2 linked regions of the Arabidopsis thaliana genome follow. The protein of the gene in region 1 interacts with the protein of each later gene in a pairwise test. Each region holds a gene or a part of one and is shown in the gene's direction. Other genes may lie near its edges.

The links. The genes of interacting proteins can lie anywhere in the genome.
Region 2: the proteins of AT5G53490 (region 1) and LTO1 interact in a two-hybrid assay, tested with the Arabidopsis thaliana proteins (one study listed by BioGRID).

The regions. Positions count from the first base shown.
Region 1 is NC_003076.8:21,720,846-21,728,263, reverse strand, and holds AT5G53490 (Tetratricopeptide repeat (TPR)-like superfamily protein), read left to right. Parts: upstream 1-3,562; 5' UTR 3,563-3,573; coding exon 3,574-3,748; intron 3,749-3,937; coding exon of another isoform or gene 3,938-3,979; coding exon 3,980-4,113; intron 4,114-4,214; coding exon 4,215-4,461; intron 4,462-4,552; coding exon 4,553-4,776; 3' UTR 4,777-5,029; downstream 5,030-7,418. Other genes in the region: AT5G53500 (Transducin/WD40 repeat-like superfamily protein), read left to right, coding at 1-759, 863-953, 1,052-1,341, 1,436-1,529, 1,628-2,097; AT5G53486 (uncharacterized protein), read right to left, coding at 5,735-5,860, 5,971-6,035, 6,251-6,307, 6,376-6,442.
Region 2 is NC_003075.7:16,940,485-16,946,502, reverse strand, and holds LTO1 (NAD(P)H dehydrogenase (quinone)s), read left to right. Parts: upstream 1-1,825; 5' UTR 1,826-1,880; coding exon 1,881-1,979; intron 1,980-2,055; coding exon 2,056-2,341; intron 2,342-2,621; coding exon 2,622-2,878; intron 2,879-2,974; coding exon 2,975-3,087; intron 3,088-3,237; coding exon 3,238-3,385; intron 3,386-3,469; coding exon 3,470-3,709; coding exon of another isoform or gene 3,710-3,770; 3' UTR 3,771-4,472; downstream 4,473-6,018. Other genes in the region: SEN1 (Rhodanese/Cell cycle control phosphatase superfamily protein), read right to left, coding at 520-594, 675-728, 829-899, 990-1,186, 1,279-1,430; AT4G35750 (SEC14 cytosolic factor family protein / phosphoglyceride transfer family protein), read left to right, coding at 4,829-4,952, 5,039-5,303, 5,419-5,638. UniProt on the Arabidopsis thaliana protein: Thiol-disulfide oxidoreductase catalyzing disulfide bond formation of chloroplast proteins and involved in redox regulation and photosynthetic electron transport.

The DNA.
Region 1 (7,418 bases):
GGAGAGTGCAGCAGTTCTTCTAGTGAGGTTTCATTGTCTGGTTCAAGCGTTGAAGTTTCCGAGGAATTGTCTTTGAGAGTAGACAGAAATGTGGGTGGATGTGATGTGACGAGAAGACAAAGCTCTTCAATGGCGTCATGTTCTAGTTCCAGATATTGCCAAGTGAAGGAAACCGAGAAGCAGAGGAATATCGCAGGGCTAGTCACGAGTTTTAAGAAGGGATGGTTATCGAGGCTTCGGTCTATGGGATGTACCGCGGATACAAATATCGAATCTGGTGGTAGAATGAGAGCTTCTTCTGGTTATGGTGATGTGATTTCAAGAGTTAAGGTTAAGCATTGTAAGAAGCAGGCAAAGGAGCTTTCAGCTCTTTATCAGAGTCAAGACATTAAAGCTCATGATGGTGCCATCTTGGCGATGAAATTTAGCAACGATGGGAAGTTTCTTGCAAGCTCTGGTGAAGATGGGATTGTGAGGGTGTGGAAAGTCGTTGAGGATAAGAAATCTAGACTACGAAGGGATTGCCTTAACGAGATAGATCCTTCGTGTATGTACTTTGAGGTAAATGATCTTTCTCAGTTGAAACCAGTTTTGGTAAATGAGGAGAAACCAAAGAAGACTACAGAAAGTTTCAGGAAAACATCTGATTCAGCCTGTGTTGTCTTCCCTCCTAAAGTTTTTCGGATTATGGAAAAACCATTATATGAATTCCGTGGGCACACGGGTGAAGTCTTGGACATCTCATGGTCAAAAGATAATGTAAGCCTCCAAAATCTTTTGCATTTTCTTATATTAACTTGCAACCATTGCTTTAACGGAAGCGAAAAACTGAGGCATTTTGTTATGTAATTTCTTGGTGTAGTATTTGCTTTCGGCGTCAATGGATAAAACTGTCCGCCTTTGGAAAGTTGGTAGCAATGATTGTCTTGGAGTTTTCGCTCACAATAGTTATGGTATGCTTCTTCTTCTTTTTGGTTTCTAGATCTCTTTTTCTTTTTCAGTTACTACATTGATCTTACATTACCTGTTGCCTGCAACTTTCTTTTTGCAGTAACCTCTGTTCAGTTCAACCCGGTAAATGAGAATTATTTCATGAGTGGTTCAATTGATGGAAAGGTTCGAATTTGGAACATTTCCGGTTGCAGCGTTGTTGATTGGGCAGATCTCAAAGACATTATATCGGCAGTGTGTTATCGTCCGGATGGACAAGGTGGAATCATCGGTTCTCTGAACGGGAGTTGCAGATTCTTTAACATGTCTGGAGAATTTTTAGAACTGGACTCTCAGATACATTTGCATAACAAAAAGAAGTCTTCAAATAAACGCATAACTGGTTTTCAGGTAATGTCTCCTATGTCTTTCCCTTTCTCTAGATACTTCGTTTACTTCTCTTGAAATTTGTGAGATGTTAACAAATCGTACTTGCTTTTTCCAGTTCTTACCACAAGAACCGACTAAAGTCCTGGTTGTTTCCGCGGATTCCAAAGTCAGAATTCTCCAAGGCAACAATGTCGTCAGAAAATACAAAGGTATGTTTCTTTTTATGTCTCCTTCAACTTTCATTTTCTTTTGCATAGCTCTATTATTGATTCTAAACTAATCCCATCTCTGTTTTTTCAATCTTTAGGCGTTTGCAAGACGAGAAGCCTCACATCAGCATCTCTCACATCTGATGGAAAACACATTGTTTCAGCTTGTGAGGACTCCAATGTATATATATGGAGCAATGATGAGGAATCAGAAACCAAAAAGATTCGATCTTTTGAACGTTTCTCCGCCAATGCATCAGTTGCAGCAACATGGTGTGGATTCTCAGATCACAACACAACTCTCCCGTTTTCTTCTCCATCATGCTTATCTCACAACGAAGGATTTGTCCCCGGATCAATATCCAAAGGGAGTGCGACATGGCCAGAGGAAAACCTACCCGCAAATCCTCTGTCCACATCCGCGATGAATGCATCTCATTACAAGTTTCTCAAGTCCTCTTACCAGAGAGCATCCAGCTCTCTATCTTGGGGTATGGTCATAGTCACAGGTGGTTGGGATGGACAGATAAGAACATTTCAGAACTACGGGTTGCCTGTGACTACTTGAAAAAACCTGTTTCGTTTTCCCAACTTTGGAAAACAAATCAGATGCCATTGTTCCTATCTTGATAGGCACAAGCACATGGTTCTAGCAGATCATGAAGCAATGGTGGGTCCAAAACCAGATCCACTCTAAGATCTCTGGAGATACATCAATTAGTCAAAAAGTGATACAATTCTGTTACTTCTCCTCAAGATTTATCATCATCTTGTAGAAAAATCTTTGAAGAAGTGGTCAGTGGGAGAGGTTTCAATCGGTTGATGTAGACGCAGGAGATGATAAGGAACAGATGTTTCTGTTTTTGGCAATTAGTGGCGGTTGGAGATGGTTTTTAGACAGTACGGATTTGTCTGAAAATTGACAGGCGATTATTGTAGGGTCCAAAACCAAGAGAGGCAAAGTAGTGATCATGTAAAGGAGTGGTTGAAGGAGAAAGATGTTGACGTTACTTCCACAAGAAAGATCTTCCAATGCCTTCTCCTAAGATCCTTTTTTCAATTTAGGATTTTGTATTGATAAATTTCTAACGTAGTGATTATTGATTCGTTGATTATGTGTAATTTGAGTCTCTAACGTGTAGATGAGTTTGTTATATAGCTTTGTTCTAGATTTGATTTCCACTTATTATAAGAGACAAATCAATAGATTGTAAGAGCTCTCCACCTCAAAGAGAGGCTCCGGAGATTTGTAGCTGTAAATTTTGTACAGAGTAAAACTTGTTTTCTTCCAAGTACATACAGTTAAAAAAAACTAGAGTTTGTGGTGTAACATGAATTACAAGAATTGTTGAAACTTGTCTTGGCGATTTACCCACTCTTTGACTAAGCAGTAAAAGAAATCGCAAATATATGAGAACACATAGTAAATGATGATCAATGAATCTGAAAATTTTCTGATTGACCAAATCGAGATAAGGTAAGAGTTTGTGGTTGAATGTTAGGAAATTGTTGTGTCAAACAAATTAGTGTGTGCAATCATGAATGATGGTTTTGTGCTCTAGGGTTTTAACTTTTAATTGACCTAGAAGGATCCGATAGACTATGGAAACAAAAATCTTACTAATAATATTCCGAGTGTATCTTATAAGATAACCTTACATTTGTAGAAGATGTTCTCATACTAATCAATTTTTTTAATATCTTTTATTAGCTTACACAAAATAAATATAATCATTTATTATTTAAAATCGTTTTTAATGTAATAAATACAAATATAAATTTTATTTTAACATAAATAAAAATATATAAAATAAAATATTTACTATTAAGCTATTAATTACGTATTTAGCATGGTAAATCATATATTTTGCGTGGGTTAGAAGTCATCAATAATATACTGTAGATGTTTAACCGATGGGCTGCACTACTTGATATTATATCCAAAACCGATGAAAGATTTACAAATGGACCAAATAGTAATCAGGCCCAATGGGCTAAATCGTATATAGTCTGATATTATGATCTGTCATGCCACGTCATAGGCATGATCCATAACGAATTGATAAAACTCTATGGTTGTCCAAGTTCGAACAAAAATCTGAAACACACTTCCATGGCTTCGCTTCCTGTTCAATTCACGAGGAATCAAATCTCTTCACCGTTTTTCTCTGTAAACCTCCGCCGTGAGCCTAGATCTTTAGTAACAGTACACTGCTCCGGTAAATGTCATCTTTTTTCTCTCTGCTTTAATTGGTTTTTCAAGATCTCTCTGCTACTTCTTCTTGGTTGTACGGTTCTTCGAAATTTCTAAGTATTTTCAAGAATCTTTAGCTTTACCTTCAATGAATTCATCTTTATAGATGGGTTTATGAATATTGTTATGTCAAAATCTTGCTTTTAAAGTGAAGCTAAAGTAGTGTATGTGATCTTGATTTGCATTATGTTCTCAGCAGGAGAAAACAGAGAAAATGGTGAAGGTGTAAAGAAGAGTCTCTTTCCTCTTAAGGAGCTTGGATCTATCGCTTGCGCAGCTCTCTGTGCTTGCACTCTTACAATAGCTTCTCCTGTTATTGCTGCTAACCAGGTCTGTCACATTATATGGCCCTTTCTCTTTTCTATGTTTGTGTCTGAAGATGGCTATGTTTTAGAATTTAAAGAAATGGATAAATGGATTGTTTTTTTCAGAGACTTCCTCCGTTATCAACAGAACCAGACCGGTGTGAAAAAGCATTTGTTGGTAACACGATAGGTCAAGCAAATGGTGTCTATGACAAACCACTGGATCTTAGGTTCTGTGATTACACAAATGATCAAACTAATCTCAAAGGCAAGACTCTCTCTGCAGCCTTGATGGTTGGGGCTAAGTTTGATGGTGCAGATATGACTGAAGTTGTTATGTCAAAAGCTTATGCTGTAGAAGCAAGCTTTAAAGGTATATAGACTTAAATCTTGAAATTTGAAAGCATATGGTAAAATTATGGACCAAAATGTTAATTAATGTTTTAGTGTGAATTCTTTTCTAGGGGTGAATTTCACTAATGCTGTTATCGATCGGGTGAATTTCGGGAAATCGAATCTGAAAGGTGCGGTGTTTAGGAACACGGTATTATCCGGTTCGACATTTGAGGAGGCAAATTTGGAGGATGTGGTCTTTGAGGACACTATCATTGGTTACATAGACCTTCAGAAAATATGTAGGAATGAGTCCATAAACGAAGAAGGAAGACTTGTGTTGGGATGCCGATAGAGAAGAGAGAAGGTTTTGATTTGAATGTATTATATATGTAAGATTTAAGATTTGTTGACACAAAGATGTATGAAACTAAGTAAAGGTTGAAGGATAGGAGTCAAGAGAGTTATGAGAGGTTGTATAATCGATTCTTGTAAATTCTGTAACCAAACAAAAGGCGTTTTCTCTGTTTCTCTTCAATAATTTACATAGACATATTTAAGTGTTAGTATGTGAATTTTATGTATGCTTGTGAAATATGTATAACCATAGTAACTAGTCTTCGCTATAAATATGTAAGAGAAGAGACAATGAATAAAAGCGCATCTGGTGTAGTGGTATCATAGTACCCTCCCACGGTACTGACCAGGGTTCGATTCCCTGGATGCGCAACTGTTTTAATTTTATATTTGTTTTTTCATTTTAGTTTTATATTTTCTTTTTTTAAATCAACCATTGCAATCTTGTTTCATTTGTACTATGTTATTGTAATAGCGACATATAAGGTTTTAGCTATGATAAGCATAAAATCTGTCTTCATTTCTTTTTCGTTTAGTGATCATGCTGATAAAGAGTTTTTTACTATGTGTTTGACTGCATAAGATTGAAATCATCAACTAATGTGAAATATTGTAGAAGACGCATTTATAATAATACTATACAGAACTAAAAATAACCATAACACTTTATTTATTTTCTGATATAACGATTACACAGGATATAATGGCTATATTATATATGTCAATGAAATAAGATGATAATAAATAAGGATTTATTATGTCTTGTTATTAGACACTAATCCTTTCACTAGCGGGTTTCCGAAGGGTATTTTACACTGAGCTCATCCTCAAACAAAAAGAGTCAGAATGGAGGATACATCACATACATATTCATATATGATATATAGATATTAGTGCATGTGCTTATATATATGCTACTATATATATAATGACAGAGATAGTTCTGTGTTGATGATTCAACCCTTGCCTCCGGGCCTTCTCCTTGGGTCGTGTTTAGGGTTGGGTCCTGCGTCGTCGTAGTCCGCTGTCGAGTGGAACATCAACTTCCTATGACCCATCTTCTTCACACCCACCTCCTCACTCTTTTTAATTATAAACACATAAATTCTTGTCAATATTTGGACATTAACAACATTTCTAATGTTGATAAGAACATATATAAACGTAAAGCATCTACATGTATGATGTATACCTTGTAAAGCATGGAACTCTCATGCATCTTCGCACCGTCGAGCTGGATAGAGCCTTCCACTATGGCTAAAAGAAAACACTCTGTTAGCGGAATATACATTGTTCTTTAAGTGACTTATTTATTTCAACCCATACTAGTTAGTTAGATGTGTTTTAATTTTGGAGAAAGAATGGAAAAAGTGTTCACCAATATAATAGTAATTAATAATCAATGGTATTAAGGTAGTTTAAGGCACTAGATTCAACAACGAAGAAAAGACTAATGTTCAACAAGATAATACCAAAAGCTGATCTCGGACTAAGATGGATGTGTTGGGACGCAAGGTTGATAGTCATCCCTTAAAACAAAGTTAAAAGACTATAAATTGAAAAGGATGGAATATATGAATATCAATTATATGTTTACCTAATGATGAAGAGCATATAATGAGAATGAGGAAGAGTAGAGATAGGGGTTCAATCCTAAGAGGCATATTATATGGTTTTTGATGATTACTCTTTGTTCGTTTAGGGGAGAGAATGCAACTAATCAATGGAAAATGAGGACAAAATGGATTTTCATATGAGAAGATGGGGAAGGTTAGTTCCCATTTTATAAACGGTCAAGTTAATGTGGTGGAAACTGTTATGGTCCATGTATAATATTAGTCGTAATGGTGATGATGATGACTATGACAATGATGATGACCATGACTAAGATGGTTGGTTCTGTTTATGACAATGAAAATATGTAAAGCTCTTATCAATATAACTTTTTAAAATAAGAATATCACGTAGATATCGATTTTTTTTATATATCACAAAACAATTATCAAAAAAAGGTGAAAACAGTGGTGAGACTACTAACATCAAAATGGTGATGATAGTAGCAAGAACAAAAATGAGAAGAATAAGAAGTTATTGGGTTAACGCAATGAACCTACAGGCCACAAACCCTAGAAAAGGTTGAAAAAGTCAACTTAACTGTTGATTGTGTTACATCTCCCAAAAAGGAACACTTAACGCTTACCTCTATTTATGCTTGTGGACAAAAATCGTATATTAGCTAGTAACCTCACTTTTTTTCTTAACACACTTTTCCTTATAGCATGACATTGTTCAAATTTCAAATTCTGTATATCGTTTTTATCTTATGATTATGTTAATTAGACCGTACTAGATATACTATAGACAAAAGTCACAAAACTTTAACTACCAAACAAAAAGTTGACGTTTCTTTTAATTAGCCTTTTTTTCTTCTGGCAATCAATTTTTGATGATAGATAAATAGTTTATCTATATTGTTAATTTGCCAGATAGGAAAATGTAATTAGGAATAACAAGTTAAATCTGAGTATAGATTACTAACTGTAAATGTTTGTGAACCAAGTGAAGTGGGAACCATCAAATACTTGAATTAGAGTAAGTTGTGCCCTAAGCCATCCGAAAGGTTATATATGTGGATCAAAT
Region 2 (6,018 bases), on another chromosome or scaffold:
GGATTTCTTTGTTAATCAAAGCAAGTAATCATATTAACTGATCGTAAACGATTCAGATACAGAAACACCTGTGTTGAGATTGATATTAGTTTTCATAATATTAGTTTCGGTTCCTTTCGGTTTGATCTTGTCCATGTATAAATATGTTTTTCTATCATTTTATAAATTTAACACTTAAACTTAAAGAATAATAATTTAAAACCAATTTAAAACTTAAATTTTAAGAAAGTAATTAATAATTTTTAACTAAAATAATGTTAATTTCACTATTATCATTTAAAAATTAGTTTAAGTATTAAAATTTTAAAACGGCGAAAACTAAACGTGTGTAGGCATGCATCCCCGTCCTTAATTGGTCCGTAAACTTTGTGGTGTTCGAAGTTCGGTAAAGCTTTCACCCAATATAGATTTGACAGTTAAACTATGTTTTAGAGAATAATAATGATGATTGATACTTGCGTTGAGAACATCTACAGAATTTATTGATAATTACAGGAGGTGATATGGCTATGATTGTTTTCACTCTTCTACCGGCAGCTCATTCTCTGTCCAAGCGACGTATCCTCCAGCAATGTCTGTGATCGCCGTGAAGCCCTGTACATGTGGCGACATTAAACCCGCTTGTCCTAAACCGGATAACGGCTATATAAATTGAAGTGATATTACACACATACAGCAGTGAGAAGATCAGTTGAGGCCATAAATGACATTTGACCGCTCTCACAACCCTGCAGAAGTAGTTTATTACGTGCATCAGAGATTTTGTGAAACAAGGGATTGTCTTCATAGGGGTTTATTTAGTCTCTGAATGTCAAAACTGAAACTTACGATTATGATTTCATCGTGTTTCCTGAAGTGGGACGAGACCTGTCTTAGAAAACTCGGGTTCTTAACCATTCCTGCAACGGTTTTGGCTTGGTGTTAGTTTTAAGTTGTTTTTCATTTTCACTCTTTCTCATAAGAGGAACCTTAAGGTCGGTGATGAAAACCTGATCCGACTCTGTACATGTAAGGTACGTTGATGGCTCTAGTCGGATGTCCGATGCTGAATTCGTCTGGTGTCCTCACGTCGAGATAGCGGTATCCTGCTTGAGCTAGCTCACGCGCCACTCTTACTGGTACTGACGTAGGAATTTTAACTGCCTCTGCTGCAACATTTCCTCTGCTTGTTGTCGTTGCTTTCCTCCTTGAGCAAGAAGTTAATACTCAGATTTAATATTTATTCATAATCTAAAATCAGATAGAGAAGGCGATTCTCGTCGTTGATTGCTAGCTTACCATCGGAAGTTTGAGTTTCGAAGATCAGCTACAATAACACCTCTTCGTGTTGGTAATTGGCACTTGAAAGATCCACATGTTTGTAGAGGTGGAGAAATAGCCGATGACCAGTTTCCAATTCGTGATGTTGTGTTAAAAGCAGTGGTTTCCATTTTCACTTCTTCTTTGAAACTTCTTTTAGAATGCTTTGATGCTACTTAGATACTTCTTCTCTTAGTTCTATAGCGTTTATATAATACATACAGACACAAAGGTATGGGTGTCACGTCAGCAAGTTTTATGTCCGATCTTCGAGTCTCTATCATTTCTATGGATAAATTCAATTATGTACCAAAGTCGATTCCAAAATGTAAACAATGCGTAGATAATGAATCATGATAAGTCCAACTCGGTGCCTCGTGAGTCGTGTTGAAGAGGATAACTTGCTGACTCGGACGGATAAGAAGACCGTAAGGCCCAATTGTGATAAACTAATTATGGATCCAAATTATCGTATTTGGGCCTCGTTTAGGCCCAATATTGAAACAAGTGGCTGAGATAGTGGAGCGGAGGAGAGAAGATGATGAAGTTAACAATGGTGGAATAGCGATTCTTCGACGACGATGATGGCGAGGTTTGTTTCTGTGTCGTCTTGTCAGTTTCATTTCGGCTTCCGTGAGGTTTCTCCTCCGTCGGTAACTTCTTATCCTAGACGATTCGAGGTAAATTCTTGTCATGTGTTTTCTTCAGTGACAGTAGTGTGTGATCGGTCATTTGAAGTCAGATGTTCTGAATTAGGTCTCTGATCGGAGATTTCCTGCGATTCCGATTAAATGTTCTTCATCTGAGCCGGAAAACGGTGAGGATTCGGCACCGTCGCTGTCTTCCTCCTCCTCATCGTCTACAAGTGAAGTATCTACTAGTAACAGTTCGACATACAACTGGTACACCGGAATCGGCGGTATTGGGATGTTAGACACTGCGTATTTGACTTACCTCAAGGTCACTGGCTCCGATGCGTTTTGCCCTATTGGTGGTGGCACTTGCGGTGATGTCCTCAACAGCGATTATGCCGTCGTTTTCGGTATTATCCATCGCTTTATTGATTATAGCGTTTGATTTATGTAGCTAATTGTCCTCTCTTTTATAGTAGGCATGATTAAATACTCGCATGTGATAGTCTCTGTGAATCTTTGCTTGAAGCTATATCATTTAGGAGCTTTGGTACTTAGTATGCATAGAATTGTTAGAGTTAAATAGCATGCTTCACTCCACTCTATGTAGTGCTTTGTCTTCGTTGTTTGTCCAACATTGCATTGCAGGTAAGTTGAACTCAATGAAAATCCTTTTTTACATTTTGCCAGGTGTTCCTCTTCCAGTGATTGGATTTGTTATGTATGGCGTAGTAACCGCTCTAAGTGCAGAGCTTGGGGAAGGGAATCTACCTTTTGGAATCAGTAAGAGCAATGGGCGTTTCGCGTTATTTGGGATCACGACTGCAATGGCATCTGCTAGTGCATATTTCCTGTATATCCTTAGCACAAAACTCTCAGGATCATCATGCCTGTATTGTCTGGTGTCTGCTTTCTTATCATTTAGTCTATTTTTCCTCTCTGTAAAGGTATCCCTTTATTTCCATTTCTTTTTTTTTCCTGATGTTGACTCAAGATAACTTCTAAACTTCGGATTATGATAATGTGCTCCATGCATGTGGTAGGATGTGAAGTTGCAAGAAATACAGCAAGTTGTAGGATTGCAGATATGCTTAGCAATCATAGTAGTTGCCTCCTTGACTGCTTCTTACAGTACTGCTCAACCAATCCCTTCACGGTAATCAAAGTTCATAGTTTTCTTTGGGGAGTCCCGATAGAAATTTTAGTCATTTGTAACGAGTAGTGAACAAATAGCTTCCGAAAGATGTATGAGTCTTATCAGGTGGTCTCTTTTAATCCCGATCGTTTTTTGTTTCACTCCTTCCAGCTCTGGTGACATTGAACTGCCATATTTTAGAACAGAGATCAGTTCATCATCGAGCCCTTATGCTATTGCTTTAGCAAAACATCTAAACTCCATTGGAGCTAAAATGTATGGGGCATTCTGGTGTTCTCACTGCTTAGAGCAAAAAGAGGTAGTTAGTTCATTCATCACCTGTTTGCCAAGAATCAGTTTTATGCTTTTATTATATGTTCATTATAGTTCCATCCATCTACAGATGTTTGGAAGAGAAGCGGCAAAAGAACTGAACTACGTGGAATGTTTTCCGGATGGATATAAGAAAGGAACTAAGATACTCAAGGCATGTGCAGATGCTGCGATCGAAGGATTCCCAACATGGATAATAAATGATAAGGTGAGTAAATCCTCTGAACCCCTTGTACATTTCATCACATGTCAGTACCTATTTCACCTCTTTTATAAATTAGGTCTTAAGCGGAGAAATAGAACTCGCTGAACTAGCGGAGATGACTGGATTCAGCCTTGATCAGGCAAATGAGACCAATCAACTTCAGTAAATTTTGTATTGGTGCAGAAAATATTAAGGTGAATCCGTAAATGTTGTTTACTTGATCCTCCTGATAGCTATAGGGTGTTCTATACAAATTCAAGTAATGAAAGTGCTTATTGTTGCCATAGGAGGTTACAACTTCATCTGTATCACTTAGCCTACACCAGAGCATCACTATTTTATAATTGAAAGATTCATAGGTTCTTCCAAAGAATGTTAGGGTACTATTAATTCGAGAATCTACAGCCATCTAGTACTGGCTTTATGTAAGTATAATGTCTAAAAGTATGGTCTATATAAGAGAGTCACACATGTATTTTGTATATATATGCGTGTAGAGTAGTAGCAGATATATGATGTATGGGAAACTTAGAGAATTACGTTTACAATATTTGGTGCCCTATTGAATACCTTCCTTGAATGTGCCTCCTCGGTATTTTTCTATTGTAATGATCCATCCACAAGTTTCGCTGTTATTATCCGTTTAATATGCAGAAGATAATGTTTTTCCTTATATTTTTTAAAAGATTCCATTGGGCATTGGATAGATATGAACATAGAGATCTTTATAATCTTTAATAATTTGTAAGCTCAGATTAGTTTAACTCAACATCGGATGGGATGATCCAAAATAACGCCCATCTTATCCAATAATCTACATGAATCATGTGATGAGACGTAACGCTTAAGGCGGGGGGCGGGAAAAGAGTCAAAAAAGGCAGTAGCCGTTAGATGTAGCAAAAACGGATGGACCAGATTAGTTGCTTAACAACGAAAGATCAAGAGAGGGCGAAAAAGGTAATAATTATTGGAATGTAGGACCCACAAAGAGGTGAGGAAGATCATGATAAAAAGGAAGATGCTATAGAATATTCGTAAGAGCCCGTCGTTTCTCCCATTACCCTCCAATTAATACACTATTTTTTTTATTTTTTTGTCTTTCCCTTTTTAAAATGATCATCATCTTCTTCTTCACTCGCCTCAATTTTTGTTCCCTTCTTCTTCTATAATTCAACTGTGAATTTCACCGACGAAACAAAAAAGAGAGAGAGAGAGAGAGAAACGATGAGTTCTCAGATTTCGGAGATTGAACAAGAGCAGCTGATCGAGAAGCTTGAGATCTTCAAGATCCATGGCAGAGACAAACGTGGCCGTAAGATCCTTCGTATTATCGGAAAATTCTTCCCAGGTACTGATATATCAATCGGATCTGTTTCTTTTTCTCTCTGTGTAGATTTGTTCTTATATTTGAGTTTTTTTTGTTTCTGAAATCAGCTCGATTTCTGTCACTGGATGTGTTGAAGAAGTATCTAGAGGAGAAGATATTTCCTCGATTAGGTAGAAAACCATTCGCCGTACTCTACGTCCACACCGGCGTACAGAGAAGCGAGAACTTCCCAGGTATCTCAGCTCTACGAGCGATCTACGACGCAATTCCGGTAAACGTCAGAGACAATCTTCAGGAGGTTTACTTCCTCCATCCAGGTCTTCAATCACGTCTCTTCCTCGCCACCTGCGGCCGATTTCTATTTTCCGGCGGGTGAGTAACTAACCGCCGCGTTTTTTAATTTTCTGGTCAACGACTTTTCTTGATACTATAGTTTTTTTTAGAAAAACGTTGATTAATTAATTGGTGTGGTGATTGGCTGCGGTAGGTTGTACGGGAAGCTGAGGTACATAAGCAGAGTTGATTATCTGTGGGAACATGTGAGGAGGAATGAGATAGAGATGCCGGAGTTTGTATACGATCACGATGATGATCTGGAGTATCGTCCGATGATGGATTACGGTCAAGAAAGCGATCACGCGAGGGTTTTCGCCGGAGCCGCCGTGGATTCATCAGTCTCAAGTTTCTCCATGAGGTGTATCTCATAGCGTAAAAGGCTAAAACTCCACCCACTAGATATCGGATCGTATCTTATAAACCATATAATATACGAATACGATTAATAATATATCAAAAAGATTGGAAATAGGTGTGCTTTTTGAAATTAGTGAGCGTTTTTTATGGAAAAGAAAAGAAAAGAAAGCAGTTGGCGTCTGGATAAAGGGAAGGAGGAGAATCTTTAGATTTTTTCTTTAATCTGTTTTTCTTTTGTCTTGATTAGTTTTTTCTTTAGTGGTGGTGGTTGTGAGTTAGTGTGTAAAATGTATATTGTCATATGTGAATTTAATAATAAGTCCTTTTGTAAGATGATCAAGGGAAAATTAGAAATTGAAAAAAAGTCATTTTAAATTTACAGCAGCAAATATGA